Linked DNA regions of Lonchura striata. The protein of the gene in region 2 purifies or fractionates together with the protein of the main gene of each other region. This does not show direct contact. Links are inferred from orthologs where the notes say so. Each region holds a gene or a part of one and is shown on either strand. Other genes may lie near its edges.

Region 1 (7,036 bases), on a different chromosome or scaffold from region 2:
ACGGGGAGCGGGCAGGAGACACCAGCCCCCCGCTTCCCAGCGGCTCTGCTGAGCCACGAGGTGCTTGCCCTTGCTGCGGGCAGCACAGGAGTTAATATTAGCTGCTGCCGCCGCGCTGATCCCGGGATTACCGCCGGCCCCACACCCCTAATCCCGCTGCCGGGCCGGGCAGGGAGCGCCGCGGGCAGCTCCCGCTGCGGGGCCGCTCGGCAGATGTTTGCCAGATGTGGGCAGCTGCCTCCAGCACTGGGAGGGAGCTCAGCGCGTGGGGCTCCAGCTCAGGCACTGACCCCGACGGAGCCAGGAAGGTGAGAGGCCAAGCTGGGCAGCCAGCAGCTCGGGAGCCAGGGGTGCGGGTGCCCCGCGGTGACCGGGAATGGTGGGTGATGCCCAGGACTGTGTCTGCCCACGGTGGGGACAGCAGAACCGGCTCCCAGTTTTCAGTGGGCAGCATCCACGGTGCAGGCAGGACACGGAGCGCCTTGTGCCAGCAGACACGCGGCTAGCACGGGGGTGCGACCACCCCTTCTGCTTCTGGCGAGCCGTGACCAGCACGCAGCCGCACCACGAGGCCGCTGCTGCCCCGACGGAGCCACCGTCACCCGGCAGAGCCACTGCCACCCACGCGCTCACCGCAGAGGAAGCCCGGCTGTCGCTGCGCCCCTCGCTGCCCCGCTGCAGGAAGGGGCTGCACGGCACTGCCTGCTCCGGCTGCACGGCACTGCTGCCGGCACACCGGCCTCACCGGGCCGAGCCCCCACACCCGGCCGGGAGCACCGACCCGGCTTCCCCAGGCCTGTGCCCGGGCAGTGCCCATGGTCCGCACCGCACCCACAGCTCCGGAAGGGCTCCCTTCCCCCAGGGCAGCAGATGGGCCCGTGGGTGGTGCCTGGCGTGGGCCCCGAGGCCAAACCCAGCCCCAGGATGGGTGACACCAGCCCCACGGAGATGATGGTTTCCCCTCCACCACTGGCACTGAGCCCAGGAGAAGCTCTGGCACCTGCCAGGGCGGTCACAGCTCCAGGGCTGTGAGGAGGGATGGGGCTGGATGGCACTGGATGGGCAGTGTCCCCCATCAGCTCCTGTCCCAGCACAGGGAGAAGGAAAGGGAAAGGGAAAGGGAAAGGGAAAGGGAAAGGGAAAGGGAAAGGGAAAGGGAAAGGGAAAGGGAAAGGGAAAGGGAAAGGGAAAGGGAAAGGGAAAGGGAAAGGGAAAGGGAAAGGGAAAAGGAAAGGGAAAGAAGAGGCGTCTGCCGTGGTGCCCGTGGCGGAAGCAAGGGACAAACACAGCACAGAGCTGGAGCTGCTGCAGGACAGGATCAAACGGCTGGGCAGCGGGAGGAAGGACGGGCAGCGGGAGGAAGGACGGGCAGCGGGAGGAAGGAAGCACGGGCTGAACCCAAGAGCAGCCCCCACCACAGCACCAAGCCTGACACCGCTGCTCCACCTCAACCCCTGCGGCACCCCAGCCGTGCCCCAGCGCCTCGTGCCAGGTGTGCCCACTCCGGGGAGCCCAGCCGTGTCCCCTCGTGCCACTGCAGTGTGCCAGGAGCTCGTGGCAAAGCGGCAGCACCCGTCCCTGTGCCCTGTGCCCAGCGGGCACCGTGTCCCCGGAGCAGCCTCGTGCAGCGGAGGACAGACAGACGTGCCAGGACACCAGGACAGTGCGTGTGGCACCACAGCACTGTCTGATAGCCCTCCCTGATGGCACAGGGGGCTCGTGGCCTCGCGGTGCCCCGTGGCACACCGTGCCGCGCCGCCGGGCTGGGCAGGTCCTGCCCGAGCTTGTCGGGCTGCCGGGAACAGGTCGGGCAGGAGCCGGTGGCTCCGTGGGCCAGTCCCGTGCCAGCTGTGCCGCGGGCACGGGGCCCGCGGGGACACCGAGCCCGCAGGGACGTGGGCAGACCCTGGACCAGCACCCGGCGTCACAGCCCCGCCTGGGGCCAGCCAGCCAGCCTGGGGGTGCCAAGGATGGGGGACAACCTGCTCAGGGGGACGCCACAGCCAGGGGACACCAAGGCTGCCCTGGGGGATCCCAGATGTGTCTCCGAGGGAGCCCAGCCTGTCCTGGAGGAGCAGTCGGCGGGGATATCCTGTCCTTGTGCCCGGCTGCCATCCCGCCACAGACGGAGCAGCCCGACCCGAGGGACGCCCCAGCCCCTGTCCCCTGCCCCCCGTCCTGCGGGCCCCCCGAGGCTCCGGGGATTTGGGGGGACACACAAACACGCCAGGACTGGGGTGGGGCAGTGGCGTCCCACACCCGGAAAAGCGACCCAGAGCGGGTCCGGGAGCCCGGTGACAGCGGCAGGGGCGGTGGTGGGAGCCGGTAACGGCGGGGGAGCACCGGGGCGGGGGACAGGAGAGCACCAGGGGCCCGTACCGGGGATTCGGGGGACAGGAAGGGGCTGAGGCGTTACCTTCAAGGATGACCTCCCTCCCGGCTCTCTTCAGCGCCTGCACAGCTTGATCGTGGGTGGCATCGCGGAGATCGACGCCGTTAACGGCGAGGATGGCGTCGCCTAACCGGAGCGCTCCGCTCCTTTCCGCCGCCAACCCCGGGAAGATCCGTGAGATCAGCACCGGCATCCGATTCTCTCGACCTCCCTTAATGCTGATCCCGAGCCCTCCCGCCTCCGCTTTCACCACCCGCACCCTCCTCACGCCACCGGGTGCCGCCGCCTCCGCGTTGCCGTTCACCACGCCGTTCACCACCGACGGATCGCCGGTTCCCGGTTCCGCCGTTAAGCTCAGCGTTTCGCCGGTCAGTTCGGCCGACACGCGGACCCAGCGGTCCCGCAGGAGCAGCTCCAGCAGCCCCGTTTTACAAGCCCGGGTCCACACGGCCATGCCGCCGCCGCCGCCGCCGGTCACCGGGGAAGGGGCGTGGCCTGGCGGAGGGGGCGTGGCTTGCGGCCCCGCCCCCGCCCGCATGGCGCGCCACGGTAGGCTCGGGGGCGCGGGAGACTGGGGTGGGGCCGCCCCGCCCCCGCCCCGATTCCACCAATCAGAGAGGAGGCGGCTAAGCCACCGCTGATGCGATTGGTCGCTCTGAGAGGCGGGGCAAAGGAAGCCACGCCCCGCCCGCCATGTCTGGCGCTGGGATTTATTTGGCGCGCTGCGATTTATTTGGCGAGCCCCGCTGTGAATCTCCCGTGCTCTCCGTGGTCCCCGATTTCTCGCCCTCCGTCCTGGGGAATGACGCTTCCCTGGCCCACGCAACACCCACAGCCCCCGTCCTTAGGGAATGAGGCTGCCCGGCCCCAGGCAGCACCCACGGACCCACACGACTGATGCGGAGGGAGAATCCAACACCGGGATTAGACACTGAGGGAAAAGGGATGGAATTTGGGGTGTCACCTTATCCCTGTGCCCCGGGGAGGAGAACTGGAAGGATATGAAGATCATGTTGACATGATGGTGGTGTAACAACAGGGAGTCACGCACAAGGATGAGCCCTGAGCCTGGGCATGTACACAACAGTGAGGTTTTATTCCTACAGCACCTTAAGAAAATTCTTACAGTGCCCCAGGAAAGCAGCACAGAGACGGTTCCCAAGGTTGGAGTGGCTTCTTCTGCTCTCAGGTGCCAAATTTCTTCTGTTGGACAGGCTGAGGCAGCTGGGTTTTGAAGTCCATGATGGGTCGTTCCACCACAACCAGGCAGTTCTTGTCCAGCAGATCCATGAAGAGCAGTGGCTGCAAGGCCAGAGATGGGAATCACGGAAATAGGGAATGGTTTGGGGTAGAAGGGACCTTAAAGGATCTCGTTCCACCCCCTGCCATGGCAGGGACACCTTCCACTAGCCCAGGTTGCTCCAAGCCCTGTCCAGCCTGGCCTTGGACAGATCCAGGGGCAGCCACAGCTGCTCTGGGCACCTGTGCCAGGGCCTGCCCACCCTCCCAGGGAACAATTCCATCCCACTATCCCATCTAACCCTGCCCTCTGGCACTGGGAAGCCATTCCCCCTTGTCCCCTTGTTCAAAGTCCCTCTCCAGAGCCCGAGCACCTCCTGACCCTGCTCCCCAACACCACCACCCACCTGGAACTTCTTGCAGATCTTGAAGGCGTGGAGCTGCCGCTTCCGGGCGGTCTCGGGGAGCTGTTTCAGGGTGCTCTGGTTCATCAGGATGGCGCCGTCGTCGGGCAGGGGCTGCGGGAGCGGGCAGAGCACGGGTCAGGCCGCCCCCGGAGCGCCCGGGCAGCCCCGGCCCTCCCCCCGGCTCACCAGGGACTTGTCGAGCACGCAGAGCAGGAAGGTGTCGTGCAGCAGGATGTGCGCGGCGTTCTTGGGGTTGAAGGTGATGTGCGTGATGGGCGAGTCCCGCTCCAGCCAGACGCGGTGCAGCCCCCGGCTCTGCACGGCGCGGCTCCAGCCCGTGTACTGCTTCTCGGGGATGCTGAACTCGGACAGCTGCGGGGCACGGACACGTCAGGGGCGCCCCAGCGGCTCCAGCCAGGCCCCCGAGCCACGCTGGAAGGGCAGGGACACGGGGAAGGGAGCAGAGCCACGAGAGCTCCACTAGCAGAGCTCCTACCTGCTGGTCCGAGTAGGCGATGACGAGGTTGTTGGTGATGGGGTGGATGGCGAGGGCCGATACGGCGCAGTCGTAGCTGGGCACCACGCAGTGATGCTGTAGGAGGGGACAGTGTGCTGGTGGGACCCGCCACAGCCACTGCTGACAGCGCTCCCACACACCCATCCCGAGCAGAGCCTCCAGGACTGCCTCTGACCCCCCTCCCCACACACCCACCCCGAGCAGAGCCTCCAGGACTGCCTCTGACCCCCCTCCCCACACACCCACCCCGAGCAGAGCCTCCAGGACTGCCTCTGACCCCCTTTCCCACACACCCACCCCGAGCAGAACCTCCAGAACTACCCCTGACCCCCTGCCCCACACACCCACCCCAGCCCTGCTCCAGGGGTGCAGTGATGTCTCCAGGGGTCCCTCCCAGGCCCACCTTGAAGCATTTCAGGTTGTAGACGTGGATGGCCCAGTCGCCGCTGACGGCTGCCAGCCAGTGCCCGTCCGCGCTCGGCGCCAGCAGGTAAACGGCCTCGGAGCAGCCTGCAGACAGCCTCGGGCTCAGAGGGGTGCTGGGAGCCTCAGACCCACAGACACCCAGCCCCACGTCCCCCCTGCCTGTCCAGTGCCCGGCCACGAGGGCACAGACACCCCCGGGAGGGACTCGCACACCCCTCAGGGCAGGAAAGGGGGACACCCCCGCTCTGCACCCACAGGGGAGGGGAATGCGGAGCCCAGGAACCCCCAGCCCCACCCCAGGAACCCCCAGCCCACACCTGAGGGCGGCCGCAGTGTGTGCAGGTGCTTGCAGCCCCCCGGCTCCTGCAGCTGGAAGACGTGCACAGCTCCTCGAGCGGAGGCCACGAAGAGGCTGTCGGAGGCGGCGGAGAACTGGAGCTGGTAGGCTGGAGGCAGCAGCTTGGGCGCTTTGGGGACCTGGCAGAGGGGAGAACGCAGCCCTGGCAGCCGCCCCGCTGCCACCCATGGTCCCCACGAGTGACGCTGGCTGTGCCAGCCCCCAGGCCCCACGGCCCCCCGCCCCTCTGACCTTGCTGAGGCTGACGCCGTCCCCGTCGCAGTGCACGCGGTACAGCTGCAAGCGGGAGGCCGTGGAGTAGCCCAGCCAGGTGCCACAGGGTGAGATGCTGCTGCAGTAGATGTGCTCCGGGCCCTGGGAATGCCACGGGACTGAGGGGGGGCCCGAGGAACCCCCAGAGCCCAGCACACGCCCCTCACCTGCCCCAGGGGCACCCCAGCCCCCTCAGCCCTACCTTGCTCTTGAGCTGCAAGAGGTGCTCGGGCATCTGGCACAAGGGAAGGACCTCACCGTCCTTTCCTGGGAAAGAAAGCACACGGACACCGGTGAGTGGGAAAACCACACGGGGCTCTCTGAGCAGCTGGGGATCCTGGGGGAGTGCCCAGACCCTTCCCTGAGGCCCAGGACAGCTCAACCCCCAAATCCTGCTGGCAGCCTGGGCTCTGCCAGGGAGCTGACACCAGAGAGCTGTGCCTGTGACTCACCAGTCTCCTCAGTGGAGCCAAGTCTCCAGAGCTCCAGGTACTGGGAGAACTGGAAGAGGAGCAGCCGGGCTTTCCTGGCGCAGGAGACGAGGCGTCGCTGCGTGGAAAAATGGGCAGGGTGTCATGGACCCACAGCCTGGCACAACGGGCTGGGGCACAGCCGGAATGCCCTGGAGTGCTGGTGACTCCCCACGGGGGTGAGCAGGGAAATCAGGTCCCATGGGATGGAGATGGAGACCCAGCAGGACCAGCAGGACCAGCTTGGCAACTTCCACTGCTCCTTGGCAGAGCCTCCAGATGTACCAGGAAAGGAGACAAACAGGGCAGAGGAGGGAGCCAGGCTCAGGGAAGGAACCCTGGCAGGGCAATGAAGGCACCTGGAGGGGCAGGGAGATCCAGCCCTTCCAGCCCCACGACCCCAGTCCACGCATCACTCACGTGGGGGAAGATGAATTTTCGGAGCACCGCGTCGTAGCTCTTCTTCTGCACCTTCTCCATCAGCGGGCGGATCACCAGCTGGGCATCCAGGCCTGCAAGCCAAGCACAGCTCAGCCACACCCTGGGAGGGGAGATCCCGCCCAGTGCCGGAGCCAGCAGCAGTCCTACCCCCGGAGATGAGGGCGGTGGGGCTGTGTGCCACGGCCCGCACGTCGTGGCTGTGGAACTGGAACACCTTCGTGCGCACCCACTGCTTCTCCAGCCCGCCCAGCCTCACTGGCAGCAGCTGCAGCTGGTAGGTGGCCCCGCTGGAGGTGCCCACGACTATGCTGTCCTCTTTCTGTGGAGGGAAACGGGACGGGGCTGTGGGAGCAGCTGGGAACAACAGGAGGGCACTGCCAGGAGGCCTCGAGTGCGGCACCTCCGCTCCCTGCCAGCCAGGGGGGAGCTGGGGGTGTCACCCACCTCTGACACGGCCAGCGAGAGCACGGCCGAGGTGCTGACGGCGCAGGACTCTGCCAGCGTGCCCTGCTGCCAGTCCCAGAACTGCACCCT
Region 2 (7,116 bases):
ACAGGCCTGTATTACTGTAGATCTATTTATAATCAACAGCTGGCTCCACCTAGTGTCCTATTAATTCATCAGTGAAAGAGAAAGCTAAAACCAAATACTAGAGAGAAAACAGAAACAAACTAAAAAAATCTCTTGTCAGCTGGGTGATGGCCACAGACAGCATGAAGTTACAATTACTGGCATCACAGGGAAAAGAATATTTTAAGTAACTACTGCATGATGATTGCCAGCCAGCATTCTGGAGACGTGAAGAGACTAAGCAGATTCAGGAGTATAAAGATATAATATATGCAATATAAAACAGTTTTACTGCTACCCTGAAAAGGAGAATGAGACTTAAGCTGTTTATAGAGGTTTCTCTCTCTATGGTTTCACTGTGATCAACAATGAGAAAGTATTGTTAAATTTAATTGAACTTCGATGAAACAGAATAAAATTTTATTTTATTTTATTATCAGCAAAACTACAGAACTATTTCTGGTTATTCATACCCTACAGTGATCCTCTCTGTTAATGAGTACATCTCCCCTCCCAGCAGTTACAAAATAATTTAAAATGTCTCTTGTAAATGATCAAAACAGGGAAATGCACAAGAAGCTAAATAACACCAACCAGCTATTAGTTTTACTGATCCTTACATTCAAACTTTCCAAAGGCTGGTTCACTGCTATGTATCTAGAAACATCTATCTTTCTAAAACTGTTACAGTTTTACTCAGCAACATTTAGTCTTTAATAGCCTGATCCCTGTTGACAAGACAACACAGAGTACAGCCAATAAAGTAATTTAAGATAAAGTCAGAAAAGTGAATATCCAGTTTGACAAGAAATCTTTTGATTATCACCTGTGAAAAAAAATTTCTAATGAAGAAAATTCTAATGAAGAATGGAGTTTACATAGAAGAAAGCATTTTGTAAAGTAATCCAAGTAATTTAACATAATCATAACCTGTGAGCTATCAAGCAGTGTTTGAGTGGTTGTTGAACCTTTGAATAGGAAGAAAGAGAATACCTTACATTTACAAAGCACTACTTTCACCTCTCTAATCGAGGGCGATCCACTCTTGTAGAGCTGATGTCTGTTTTAAACCTGTTCCTATCACCTGTTCAGAGCTGCTCAGCCGGTTCACCCTAGTGGTGATAAAATATATTTCAATATGTACAATATGCACTTAATGACTGTTCACCGTGACAGACAGGGAGAATATATATGTTGTGAGGTGGACAAGAGGAAGGATCATGTAATAATACAATACCTACACCAAAGAAAACACCTGTAAATTTTCTCAAACTCTCTCAAAATATTCAGTTAAAAGTTATGGTTGTGACCCACCTAAAGTATTCACAGTTAAATTCAGTAATTATATGAAAACCTCACAGTGCAACACAGAACATGAATTTAATAAAATGCACACAGAAATGCTCTCTAATGTTTTAAAAATAAGAGAATACTCAAGATCTCAACAGTTAAGCAGTTACTGTCATTTCTCATTAACAGTTTTCAGAACCCTATCTGAAACAAGTTGATACAGAGAAATTAGGAACAGTAATCAAGCGAGAAATGACAGACCAGCTGGGTAGGCATCAAGTTGGCAAAACGTGAGTACAGTTCAATAGCTGAAACAGATGCTGGAGTTGTTGAGAAACCCTGCAGGAGATATTGATGTATTTTCTTTATATAATTCTGAACAACCGGATAAATGTCAAGAGCTAAAAACTGATGGGGAATAAAACCTGTCATAAAAACTAACTGTAAAGCAGAGACATGCAATAATATCCTTTTGTTATACCAGAGCATTTAGTACATGCATCTTCATTTCCTTGGAATTCCTCAATATACCAATATATCAATCAGAGCTTGCTAGTGAATCGGAGGGAGCTTTTCCCAGTCTTGTTTCACATTTGTTTGTTTCTATCTACCTGAGGCTTCAGAGACTTAGAAAATACTTTATTCTTCAGTCTCATCCTAACAGAACACTCTCTTTCAAGCAAGCAATTCCCCGAGCTTGCAGGCAAGCAGGAAAGAAAGAGTAACACGAGCATAAATGAAACTGCAAAATCCATTTTGCACGAGGAATTTTGTTTTCAGAGTTTCAAGACCTCAGCAACAAATCCTCTGTCATCAGTGACAGCTCATTCTAGCATATGCTTTGTCATGGTCAGTTTCTAATTACATTCATAATGATGCAATAGCTTTGATAATCCTACCTTCCATGCCAGCTGCTTTTCTTGTCACTCCATCATGCCAATAAGTTGGCTGCCGTAACAAATCAAGATAGTGCAAAACAGCATCTTTCCCCTGCATCTGTCATCTTCCTGAAAGCATTCTATTACTGCCGACTGCTGGGAACCAGAAAGTCTATTTGAATTCCAGCAGCTCCCCTTTCGCATGATTCAAGTTAGGTTAGGTGGGCATGCCTAACATGATTCTCTCCATCATTTATTATGCAGCTGCTACACCGTCGGTGTGGTAACCACTCTGACTTTATCTGATACGTCAGTCTTGCAAACCTCTACCTCCGTGCAAGCCCACGAGCCACAGAAGCATCTTGCATTTAATGAGCATTCTCCCTGCCTAAAGAGAGTGCATCTGTAAATCTGTTTCAAATCCTGCTGCTTGTATTGTCCTCTAAGGCTGATGCAAATGTTTGAAGGTTTTCCTTTTTTTTTTTATTCTTGCGTTTTTTTCTCTCTTCAGGAAGCTCTTCATGCACGCTCAAATTATTCAGCTTCAGCTAAACGTTTGCTGATTTGTGTCCAACCAAACAGCACCTTCCCGTTGAAACTCTCTGCTCGAAAGCTACTTCTGAATAACAGTGCTGTGCGTTCAGGCTCTCAACTCTGTTCATTTTGAACATGGCTTTTATAGCTACACCTCAACAAATGCATTTAGTTCTTTTCATGCAATGAATGGCTGTCTAATGAGGGAGCTGTACATATTTAAGCAATTTATCTAAGCCTATCTGTAGTGACACTTGCTTTTTGTTCTTTATACATTTTAACAGTAAGTAGATAGCTCTGTTACAGCATCTTGATATTCTTAAAGTGGTAAGAACACCACAATAAGCTGCTTTTTGCCAGCCTGTGGAGGACACTTTCAAATGACAGAGTTTGCTTAACTGTTTCTGAGTATCAGGAATTAAAGGGACAGGGTTGTTTTGTTGTCTTTCTATTTATATTTTCTGTTGAGTGGGGGAAAAACACGCTTGCGTCAGTGATTTCAAAAGAATATTAATAGAAATTGACATCTACACATCAATCATCCTCCAAGTCAAATTAGCTGTGTCTCCTCCCACCACTTCTGCCTGCAGTTCAGAGGCAAGGCATTTCATCTTTAATGTGTCTGGTTGCTCATAAGCTGAATAAACAACCCCAACCCCACAGTGGAAAGTTTGTGAGTGAAAGAAGGGACAATTCAATAGAGGCAACAGCCTGGCTTAAACCTGATAGTTGACTGAAGTAGTGAGGGGAGAGCAAGGACTGCCACTGGAGTAATACCTACATCCTTCCTCAGCCTTTGCACAATGGCAAATGAGGAGAGAGGAAGGGGAGAAAAGGCAGAGTCCCCCAGGAAAGCTTTCCCTTGTGGCAGCTGCCAGCTCAGCATCACTCACCAGTTCTTGTAGTCCTGGCTCAAAAGACTCATAGACTTAAGCCTCATTTCTTTACTCAGATTATATATGTTGAACTTTTCTGTGGTTTGCAATCCCTCCCCACCCTATGAGCCCCTTCCTCCCCCACAAGTTTCGAATCTCAGTTAAGTTCCACAAGGTCTTGGCTGTGAAAAATGAGCCTGAAAGCATGAGCTCAGGGGAGATCCAAGTCATAGACAGTAAATGGTGAGGGGGGGGCAGGCGGCTGGAGAAACAAAATAAAAACCAACCAAAGCAAAAAAAACCCTCCAAATAAACAAACAAACAAACAAAAACAACAAAAGAAACAAACAAAATCCAAACTAAATAACCTAAATCCCAAAAACAATCCAGGAAACAAGGTAAGAGGGTTTCCTATTTTGAAAAACAAATAGAAATAAAAATTCAGAACATCTGATATCCTCCTCTAGGACTCCCACAGGGCTGTTACCAGCGGGTACCCCTGGCACAGCACTCAGCAGAGACCCTGGGCTGAGGGGCAGGTTGCTGCTGGGTTGCAGAATGTGAAAAATCTCCCAGCCCTTCTGGGAGGGATCTGACTCCCTGCTCTCGCCCACATCCAAATGGCACAGCTGACACCTGAAGGAGCTAACATAGCATGGCGCCGTTTCTATATGTGATGCTGTATTTATTCCTAGCATGCTGCCAGAAAATGCCTTTTTAGAGATTTCATGTAAATAAAGTAGAATTACTACATCTGTTCCTCTGTCTGTAGCAGCACGTATCAACAAGCTAATTTTGCATTCAAGGCAACAGAGATAGTCCTACCATATAGTTGCAAAGTGCACAACTATAAAGCGCCCATCTGAAAATACTGTCAGCTCCTTTTGTTCACAGTTCAAGCCATTGCTGAAGTGAAACAAACCGGGCAATGAATGAGGACTAACTTTGAAGTCACCATCAATTCCAAGTAGATAAAAGGATATGCTTAATATTTCACACTTCTAGCTGCATTACGATTTCTAAATCATAGACACAGAAAGAAGGAATTTATATGGTATTTCACAACAGATGAGTTTGAGCACATATATCATATAGCTTGTATTTGCAGAGAATATCTAAAGTACCCAAAAACTCAACATAGGCTAAATTTCTAATTCAATAGATTTTGAGATGTGCAAGATTATAGATTAAAATATCAAGAAAAACATTTAATATGTTAGTAAGACATATAGTAATGAAAATTTAATGGGAGCATCTGGTGTGGCAAAATATATTTTACCAGACTCCTATCCCACGCAGATATCTTTGAATTACAAAAAGGAAGAGGGGGAAATAAAGGACTGATGAAGAGCATTTCCAGACAAATAAGCATGGCATTATGGGGAGGACCCACTGTGGTTCACCATTCAGTATTAGTGCCCTGCAACACAGCACACATACAGTGGATGGGATACAGTTCAGCCACACAGACGTTCCCAGACACATCAGGTCTATGGGGAGTAACTATTTTTGTTCTGGGGAAAAAAAAAACCAACAAATATTATTAATTATCTCTTTTGGAGGAGAAGGAAACTGAAATACACCAATGTTTGTATCTTTTGTGCACACTAACTGTATAGAAAAACAGCCCAGAGATAAATGGAGAATCTGGGAGGGGAAACCAGTATCAGTCATTCTGTCCACATACTAACAGGCCAGATTAATAGCTGGCTTTTTTCTCTAGCTTTTTCTGCATTTTTCTGCAAAAACAACAGCCGTGGTTTCTGCATATTGTAAGTGGATTCAGCATCTGCATAGATATAATTATAGCAACCCACCCATATGGAATGAATTGCTTTAGAGAGAAAGCTCCATGGGTTGCACTCCCAGAATCTACAATAATACAAATACATAATTTTTTGTCTTATACAGAACCATTTGGAATAAGCAGAAATAAATGACAAGTGGAAAAACACTCATCAAGTGGCATTTTGCTTTCTACGGTACTGAAAACTCAGTAGGCAAAGAAACTCCAGCCTATTTGGGTGACAAGTCTCTTCCTATCCATCTACAGCTTATGGCAATGACATATCTATTTGTTTTAATTGTTTCACTGCTACTAGAGGGACTGATTGGTGCATTCAGGGTGCTTGATTTCTATTGTGGTGGTGTGTGCATATGACAGTGACAACTCAGGTATCTGTAGAGCCTCTTCTTGAAGCCATTTTTTTGTTTGTTTGTTTTTGTTTTTCCTCTTTGGAAGCACCAGTGACTCTGACCAAGCAAGAGCAAATAATGGATCACTGAAAAACAGGAAGCAAGCACATTGGCCTTGACCTTCAGCTCTACATGACGCTCTACATAATGAACTCTCTCCAGTATGCAGAAATGAATGCTGATCTTGCTTAGCAAATATTGTTCATTTGTTTTGCTAATATATCTCCTGAAGAAAGTCACTTTCTCTTCCCTTTTTCCCTGCCTCCCATTTTACTTAGATACTTCATGCCTCTCCCAGTGAACAACTAATTCAATCGATCAATCATGCAAGAAAATACGTTAATGATATACTGTGCATGTTTAGATTAATAAACGCCTCAAATAAAAGCACTGGGAAGTTTGTTTGGATAACACAGACAGGAATTATTATTTCTTACTGTTAATCATTCTATATTAGCTACTTTTCAATTATAGGATTTCTGATGTACAAGAGTAATCTGTGCATAAACAGTCACTTTCCAATATAGTTAGACAAATCAGTACTTTCATTTTTATGGCAGTATTTCAATCATTTGGAGAGGATAAGTTCGGACAATTTCAGCAAATGTGGCTTTGACTGCTCAAGATTTAAAAAAAAAATTACTACAGACAAGTGTATGAAAAACTGAAAATTAAAAATGCATAAAAGTCATGTCTCTATAAACCAAAAGGCCAGTGCCATCATCCTCTCCACATGGATGTTTACAAGCCCTTTCCAATGGAAAGGTTCAGAGGCCTCATCATCCAAACAGGACCATGGTGTTGGCCAAAGAGAAGTTTGATATGTGTATGTCCCAAGTCATCCAGCTAGGAACCTGACAGACATCCCAGGAGCTGAAACTTTCAGGGATTTAAAAATTTTTGCTCCCCTGCACCATAGTTTATCCAGTTATTTTTGTGCAGAATTCACCTTTGTTTTTTGAACTGAATCTTAGGTATATGAAATTCAGCTATGTTCAGGCATTTGTCATAAGATGAAAGCTCAAAGCACACTGATCTCAAAATGTGTTAGGAGGATTCATGACCAACCTTTTGAAATAAGATTGACCATGTTTATTGTAAATTTTTTTTTCAAAATTTTATTACAGATGTACTTACAGCAATAATAAGCAGTGATTTCTTCAGCAAGAACAGGATTTCATACTACAGGACATTAAAAAGTTATTCACAAAAAATGCTACAGAAACAGTTTTCTGAGATGCAGAGCACGGCATACTCAAAAGTGGATACTCTACATTAATTCTGAATATTGCTGTGTGATATAGTCATCTGAACACTGCTTCAAA
Region 3 (7,650 bases), on a different chromosome or scaffold from region 2:
TGTGCTTTACACCTTGCCATGCCTTTGCAAATTTGACTTTCCTGGGCTGGAAGACACAAACAAATCTCAGAATCTCCCCAAAATGTAGATCTTACATTTTGACCCTGGAAACACATGCTGACTTTGCTCTGTGAATTGGATAGAGTCTAGAGAGGACCTGCACAAGGGTGTTGCCCTGCCCCATCACAGCCTGCTTTTTGCCATATATAACTCTCTAAGAAGTCAGGAAATGGCAAAATCCTATTGTCTGTAAGGAAAGGAAAATCAAGTGTTACCCTTCCATACTTTAAAGAGTAAAAAGAACTTCTGCATTTTCCTTCCTTTAGTAATAAACATACCATTTTAGACTCTGCTGCTGAAGAATGAGCTTCAAAGTGGGCAATAAAATCACAGAGAATTGTTCTAAGCTGCCTGTTTTCACACGCCATTCATGTGGAGTGGGTCCCCACTGAAGGGAGAAGCCCTCCCAGGCAATGCTGGAGCCAACGTTTGGTTTGGTTACTCTGCTGAAATAGCAAGAGAAAGCCAGGACAAAATACGGAGTGCAGCATCAGAATATTTTACCTCTATATACAGATCACTACTGAAATATATTCTCGTTTTGCAAATTACAAATTCAATTGCAGAAACAACTACTGAGGCACCTCAGCACGGAGCAAAGAAATGCAAGACAGCTGTGATGTCAAAAGGAGTGAAGGAGGGTGCTCAGAGTCCCCACTGAAACGGCTTCATCTTCACTCCTAGCCTGGAAGAAAACAGGGTTTTTTAAGGCTCACCACACAGAGGCAGGGAGATTTGCAAGCATCATATACATTACTCATTAGGTCACAGCAAAAGCCCAGCCACTACCTGACGGCACCCCAGAAAGACCTTACACTGCACAAGCAAATCAGTGACAAAATTTAGATGCAACAGCCCCACTTCAGAGAAGTTCATATTAATACTTCAGAGGTATAGCTGTAATCAATTCAGCTGCAGCAAGGGAAGACAAGATGCACTTCGGTCCTGCAGGTATTGCAGGGCACAGAGGGAGAGGAGACACAATTGTCCTCAGCTTCTTAAATCCTCATGGAGCATAACTCCTCCAGTTTTCACTGTCATAGGGACAACAAAAGAGTTTCTCAGCACACACTACTATGGAATACATTTGTCACCTTCTCTCCCTTTCAAACTTTTTCTGCAAATTTATGCCATAGTTGGCTGCTCATGGCTGATCCTCAGCTGCACCTCCCAGCCAGCGGTAGCATCTCCTTTTGCTCCTCAAAATAACCACCAAAAAAACACAGAAAGAAATGCGCGGTACGGAAAGGGCTACAGGTACAGCGAGGTGGGAGTGCCGGCAGGAAAGCGATGGCACAGGGGAAGGCAGCGATGCAGCATGCCTCAAATGCCATTGACCTCCGGTTAAATGAACTCGTGGGCAAATATGTAATCACTTTATCATACACACGCCAAGGGCAGTTCTGAAGCTGTTCATTCTCTCAGGTGGAGCAAGTAAATTAGCCCTTGTGAAAAGACGGGGATTAAACGTTTGTGCACGCCTCTCTCCTCATGGACTCGTAGTCTGAGGGAAACCGCCTGTGCTTTTCTACTCGCTCTCCCCCAACATCCGTCCCGTTCTGGGGGGACACCCTCCCTCCACGTCCCCTCCACGCACACCAGCGTCTGCTCTTTTCTCTGAGGTCAATTTCTAAGGCTACTTTTTACAAAACTGTTTCAGCCACCCTTGAGAAAGGAAAGGGCGCTCCTTTGCAGGGGTGGGATGGCTAGTGAGTCCGTGAGGCACCTTCAGCTTCATTTAAACCGCTTTGCCCCCACCCCACATCCCTATTCGGGAGTACGTGGTGGAAGGAGGAACTGGAGAGAGGGTGGTGTCGGGCGTTTCGAGATGACTGGGGCAAAGTCACCCATGTCATTCCCTTAATGCCAGGGGAGGAAGGAGGGGTTCCTTTACTTGTTTAACCTCTCCTCTCAAAGTACCCAACTCTCCCCACCTTTCTTGTACTGAAAAGATGTGAAAGCGTCCTGACGGCAGATCCAGAGGATCCCTCACCCTGCAGGAGGCTCGGTCAGGCTCCTACCGGGAGCCTCAGCCCAGGAGCAGATATTGAGTGTATTGGGTGCATCGCCGCGACCAGACGGGGCTGCGGAGCCTCCACCGACCGCGCACGGACGAGGCTGTGGGGACTGCACCGGCGGATACGAGAGCGGAAAGTTCAAGCCCGGCTCCCCGGCATCCCGCTCGTCCCTTGCCGAGGGGCTGTGTCCATGACACACGCCGTCGAGGGTCCCAGCGCGTACAGGGCGTGAACTCTCCGTGCTGAAAGACGCTCGGAGGAGCAGCAGGAGATGCGCGGGGTCATCCCCTCGCTCCCAGCTCGGCTCCGCCGCCTCTCGGGCAGCGGAGCCGCCCCGCCCCACAGGCCCCCGCTCCCGGGTGCGCACGGCCGGACCGCCCCGCTCCCCTACCTTCCAGCAGCACCTCCTTGCCGGCCCGTTTGAGCGCCTGCACCGCCTCGTCGTGAGTGGCATCCCGCAGGTCGGTGCCGTTCACGGCCAGGATGGCATCGCCCACGTAGAGAGCCTGGGTCTGGTCGGCCGCCAGCCCCTTGAAGATCTTGCTGATGAGGATGGGCATCTTGTTCTCCTTGCCCCCCTTGATGCTGATGCCCAGTCCGCCCATCTCCTGCTTCAGCACCTTCACGCACCGCTTCTTGTTGGAGATGGCCTCGGGCACCTGCTCGGGGGGGTCGGTGAAGGCGGTGCGCGCCGCCGCCGGCCCCCCGCCGCCCTCGGCCCCGCGGCACGCCGTCCCATCGCCGCCCAGCCCGTTGTGCGCCGCGCCGTCGGGGCGCTCCTCGCCGCTCAGCACCAGCGCCTCGCCGCCCAAGTTGGCCAGCACTTTGTGCCAGCGCTCCCGCACCAAAACTTCCAGCCAGCCGCTGCGCTGCGCCCGGCCGCCCCCGCCGCCGCCCGCCGCCGCTACCGCCATCTTAGGAGCATGCTGGAAGCGCCGAGTGACGGCACCCCCGGCGCGGCTCGGCTCGGCACGGCGCGGCCGCTCCGGACTTCAGCCGGGGGGCGGCAGCTCCCGGCGCGGCGGGGTGGGGCCAGGAGCCGCGGCCGCCCCGCCGGGGCCGCGCCGGGGCGGGCGCACCTGGCGGCACCGCCCGCGGGCGGAGTGGGACCGGGGCGTCCCGCCCCTGCCGCGGGGACACGGCGTGGGACCCCCGCGGGGAGCCCCGGCTCCCTCCGAGCCCCACGGCGTGGGACCCCCACGCGGAGCCCCGGCTCCCTCCGAGCCCCACGGCGTGGGACCCTTCGGGGACACGGCGTGGGACCCCCACGCGGAGCCCCGGCTCCCTCCGAGCCCCACGGCATGGGACCCCTCGGGGACACGGCGTGGGACCCCCGCGGGGAGCCCCGGCTCCCTCCGAGCCCCACGGCGTGGGACCCCCACGCGGAGCCCCGGCTCCCTCCGAGCCCCACGGCATGGGACCCCTCGGGGACACGGCGTGGGACCCCCGCGCGGAGCCCCGGCTCCCTCCGAGCCCGGGCTGTGGCCGCGTCTGGCGCTGCGGGGCCCCGCCGGAGCGGCAGTGCCAGCCCCGCAGCTGCCGTCTGCAGTGGGGTGTAGCGGGGAGCTGTAGGAAACCAAGGGCAGGGAAGAGATAAGGAAAACCCAGTTCTGTTTTATTCCCAAGGATTTTTCTATAAAGTGAATTAAAACTAACGGGTGGCCCCAAGTACTTAAATTTCAGCGGTATGGAAGTAGAATACAAGTTATTTCACGGCTTTGTAGGATGAAGGTATTAAGTGTTTGTGACTGATACTTTTGCACATTTAGTAATTGTTTATATGCCCTTTGATTACAAATGTTAAAGACTTGTGGGGCTACATGTCTTTTTTTGCAATTTTTCCCATACTCTCTGCCCTCCTAGGAAACAATAGACCCCTGACAAGGGGCTTAAAGCTCCCGCTCAGGCATCAGAGAAAGCAATGCTTTCAGGTTGCCTTTCAGAAATGTCCTCAGCAGGCCTGGAGGTGCTCCCCCACAGCAGCTGCAGACAGGAAGCACCTCCAGGACTGCCTTTGTTTCTGCTCCTTGCAGAGCAGCTCTGCTTTCTTCCTAAGCTGGAATGAAAACTCCAGTGCTTCTGGACCATCTGGTGTATGTATAGACAACACTTTGTGGAGGCTGGGATAGCCAGAGAAGTTGGGGATATTGGGATAGTCCAAATAATTTTGGATAGTCCCAATCATTTCAGCCATGTGAGTCATGTGGCTTCCTAAGGGCTCCATCTTGCCCTTTTTTGAAGTGATGCCATTCATTTCTGACACTGGGGATTTGTTTCTAGGTACACACATGTGCCCCAGGGTAATGTGGGCTGGCCAACCTGGGACTCACCTCCTCACTTTGTGGTGGGACCTATATATGGGATCATCCTCAGACGAGTTTGTCTTGGTTTAGTAGGGTCTCTCAGACCATGCTTCTTCCCTCCAAAAGGAGGCCTCTACTTTAGTTCATCTGCAGCCTCATCCAGGTTATGGATCCCTCCTCCCCAGTAGGAATGCAACCCTGCACCTATGGAGAGTGAGAATCCAAATTATGTGTTATTCAAGGATAATGAGTGGGTGGAGAAAAAGCAGACGGAAGAGAGGGCTCTTCATTTCTCATGTTAATCAATGCAAGGTGAAAAGCTATAATTAAGTTTTCAGGGCTGTGAATCCAGAGTGAAAAGAAGCATGTCCCGCTAAACCTGAACAAGGTACCTAATCCCTGTGCAGGAGCAGGCTGCAACACACCCTTTTCTCCACCTGATTCCTCCCTTGCTCATTTAGTAGCTCATGTACAATACCCTGGATGTTTGGGTTGGTGGGTTTTTGTAGATCCCATTCCCAGGTGCAAAGCATAATTAATGAATGTGCTCCTTTGGTTCCAGCAGCTTTAGGTTTGTAAAATAAGGATGGGAGGGAACAGACAGGTTTGCAAAATCAGGTGTTACCGTGCCTGTTGTTGTAGCATTCACACTCCTGTGTAGCTTCAAGCACAAATGTCCAGGTCAAGTTATAAAATCAGACATCTGTTTCCAAGTGATCAGCTCTTACCAATTATTTTTATGTTTCTTCTTTAGTAATTAATAAAGGATGAGTGCTGCTGCTAATGGAAAAGTGTATTTTTGAAGTAGTTCAAGAAAATTTATAATGAAGAGATATTTAGGTGGTTTCTGTCCTGTTGTGCAAAGGTAATAGAGAAAGGAAAGTAAATGTTTAATGCCTCACCCTTCTTTGGCACACTGTGTGTTTGGGCCATGTTTGCTGACTGTTCCTGGTGCTCCAGTAGATTCCCATGGAACTCACTTGTATAGACAATTGCACTGCATGTAGCTGAGAGTTGTGCTTATTCCAGATATTTTGCTTTCTCATTCCAACTGAGGTACATAATGAAGTTTCCCAGGACCTTCATCTGAGATATGGATCCCCGGTACAAAATAAACTTCATAGCAGCCTTCCCTGCTTCTTCCTCCCCCTTTTTGCCCACCTTGGGACTGTAAAGAAAATGGAGGTGATGTTTTAGTCTTGAAAATAAAGGTAGTGTAAGAGATGCTAAGGCACAGGCTCGAGGCAAACAGTGCCACAGATTGTCTTTCCTCCTGAAGACACTGCAGTTGATACTGATGCGTGTGTTCCCTGTCCTGGGAGTGCAGGCTCATAATTCTGTTTGTGTACCCTGAGTCTTTGTGTACCCCAAGAGCAACTTTGGGCTGCTGAACTGAAGGTGAGAAAGAAAAGATGTCTTGAGATTTCTCTGCTGGTACCCCTACCAACATTACTGACTTCAGTCCTGCCTCAGGTCTGCCAGTCACACCTGCATTGTGATTTCTGAAATTCAGGTTTATGCAGCAGGAGCAGAAACAGAAGATAAAACCAGGCATTTAATTGGGTGTTCAGATATTGGATGCCCAGGTTTGCCACAGAAAATTGTTATTCCAAAGTCAGCTGCTGGTCCCTAATGTTTTCCAGGGCATAGCAGAAAGCAAATTCCTGATTTCAACTACAAACTTTCCCTGACAGTTTTGTTTCTGGCAGCATCTGTAATTACTCACACTGCAATTGCAGTGTTCAGTGACTCTCTGTAAAGAAGCTGAGATGTGTGGTGGGATGGGCAAAGCACTCAATACTTCCAAACTTCCATCTCTAATCACTAGAAAGCCGTTCAGCACAGACAAGGCTTAGCAAAACTCTCTCTCCATCAGTTTTCCTTCTGAAAGGGTTTGATGTGAAGAATGGAATCTTTCAAACAAGCCAAATAATAATTTTTTGATTTTTGTATTTTAGCAGTGCTTAGATGCTTGAACTAGATTAGTGTCCCTTTCATTCCTGCTATATAAACAAATTGTTAGGCAAAATAATGCTAATAGCTGCTGTTGACCTGCAGGGGCCCATGGGCTCAGCTGAAGTCAAGGGCCTAAATGGAAGAAGCAGTTCAGTGAACTGGAAGAAGTCAGGGCATTGAAAAACACAGAAGCTGCTTCCCAGGACAAGGAGCACCAAAGCATGTCCAGGTCATAAAGTGCAGAAGTGATGTCTGAGGAACTGCCCAGGTGTCCAAGCAAGATCAAGGGATTTGGGGTCTGTATGTGCAAGAACAAAAGTACAAGAAAAACTGTGCAGAAAGGGTTGTGGGTATGGTGCTCAACTTTCTGTAGAGGCTACTGGAGACAATGAGGACACTGCCTGTTAATGGGGGCTTTTCCCTTTTTTCAGGCAGAGGCCAGTGTTCATATCTTGTGTACATAAACTGTCGTCCTAATAGCAAAATCATTGCAAGGCCACATATGCAAGCTCACCACTCAGCACTACAGGGAACATAGTTCCCATTTCCCTCACAGGCAGAGAAGGTAAGGACACAAGAGAGCCTTTCTATAGCTGTGGCTTCTTTATGACTGTCTGTGCTGTTCTATAGCAGAGGTGTAATTTTTTAAGGACTTCTGGGACATGCTTAAACCCTTCTTGTATCTTATTTTTCTTCCTTTTTGCATTATCAGTGTTACAACAGCTTAAAGCCAGCTCAGCCAAAGCTGCTTTAAATTGGAAAAAACTGGGTTGTGATCCTTGAACATGCTTCAGCTGACGGAGGTTGGACAAAATCAGGTCTGGATAATGACATTCCCATCTTGTTACCCTGACACCGACCAGCTCAGCAGACAGATCTGGATAGGAAGGAAGTCCAGTGTTGGAAGGCCAGTGCTGGAAACATGGCAAATAATGAGAAAGCTGGAAGGGAGTTCAGCTCCTTCAGTGATCCCAAACACTGTAGCAGCCAAGTTTAAGTTCCTTTCTGAGGAACATGCCTGAACTACTCGTTCCCCCATGGCAGCCCCTCCTATGTCTATGCCTGATGGGATGCAGCAGGGCAAGCTCCAGTGCTGATGCAGATGTCCCTGTTGCCCCGTGGGGGGACATCACACGTGGCCTGTGTCATGCTTTCCAACAGGGATTGCTGGTGCAGGGCAGGCAGCTCACCTAATCCCCAGGAGAAATCCTCCCCTCCTCAGTGCTGAGGGAGCCTGTTGTTTTTAAAGTCAGCATTCAGTAATCACTGCTCATTGGTGCTGGTGGGGTTTATGAAGATGTCAGGAACGCCTG

Evidence for each region.
Region 1: the proteins of DMD (region 2) and SNTB2 purify together in Homo sapiens (co-immunoprecipitation; 4 studies listed by BioGRID and IntAct, counting the BioPlex papers as one, with this or other methods). This does not show direct contact. The link is inferred for Lonchura striata from reciprocal best matches to the Homo sapiens genes DMD and SNTB2.
Region 3: the proteins of DMD (region 2) and SNTB1 purify together in Homo sapiens (co-immunoprecipitation; 4 studies listed by BioGRID and IntAct, counting the BioPlex papers as one, with this or other methods). This does not show direct contact. The link is inferred for Lonchura striata from reciprocal best matches to the Homo sapiens genes DMD and SNTB1.

Annotation. Positions count from the first base shown.
Region 1 is NC_134615.1:23,002,555-23,009,590, reverse strand, and holds the start of SNTB2 (beta-2-syntrophin), read right to left. Parts: upstream 3,044-7,036; 5' UTR 2,931-3,043; coding exon 2,417-2,930; intron 1-2,416. Other genes in the region: UTP4 (U3 small nucleolar RNA-associated protein 4 homolog), read right to left, coding at 3,578-3,694, 4,039-4,149, 4,225-4,410, 4,535-4,630, 4,959-5,065, 5,299-5,458, 5,571-5,693, 5,794-5,858 and 4 more. UniProt on the Homo sapiens protein: Adapter protein that binds to and probably organizes the subcellular localization of a variety of membrane proteins. May link various receptors to the actin cytoskeleton and the dystrophin glycoprotein complex.
Region 2 is NC_134604.1:107,466,165-107,473,280, forward strand, and holds the start of DMD (dystrophin), read right to left. Parts: upstream 3,026-7,116; 5' UTR 2,305-3,025; coding exon 2,208-2,304; intron 1-2,207. UniProt on the Homo sapiens protein: Anchors the extracellular matrix to the cytoskeleton via F-actin. Ligand for dystroglycan.
Region 3 is NC_134603.1:13,521,983-13,529,632, reverse strand, and holds the start of SNTB1 (beta-1-syntrophin), read right to left. Parts: upstream 3,075-7,650; 5' UTR 2,993-3,074; coding exon 2,470-2,992; intron 1-2,469. UniProt on the Homo sapiens protein: Adapter protein that binds to and probably organizes the subcellular localization of a variety of membrane proteins. May link various receptors to the actin cytoskeleton and the dystrophin glycoprotein complex.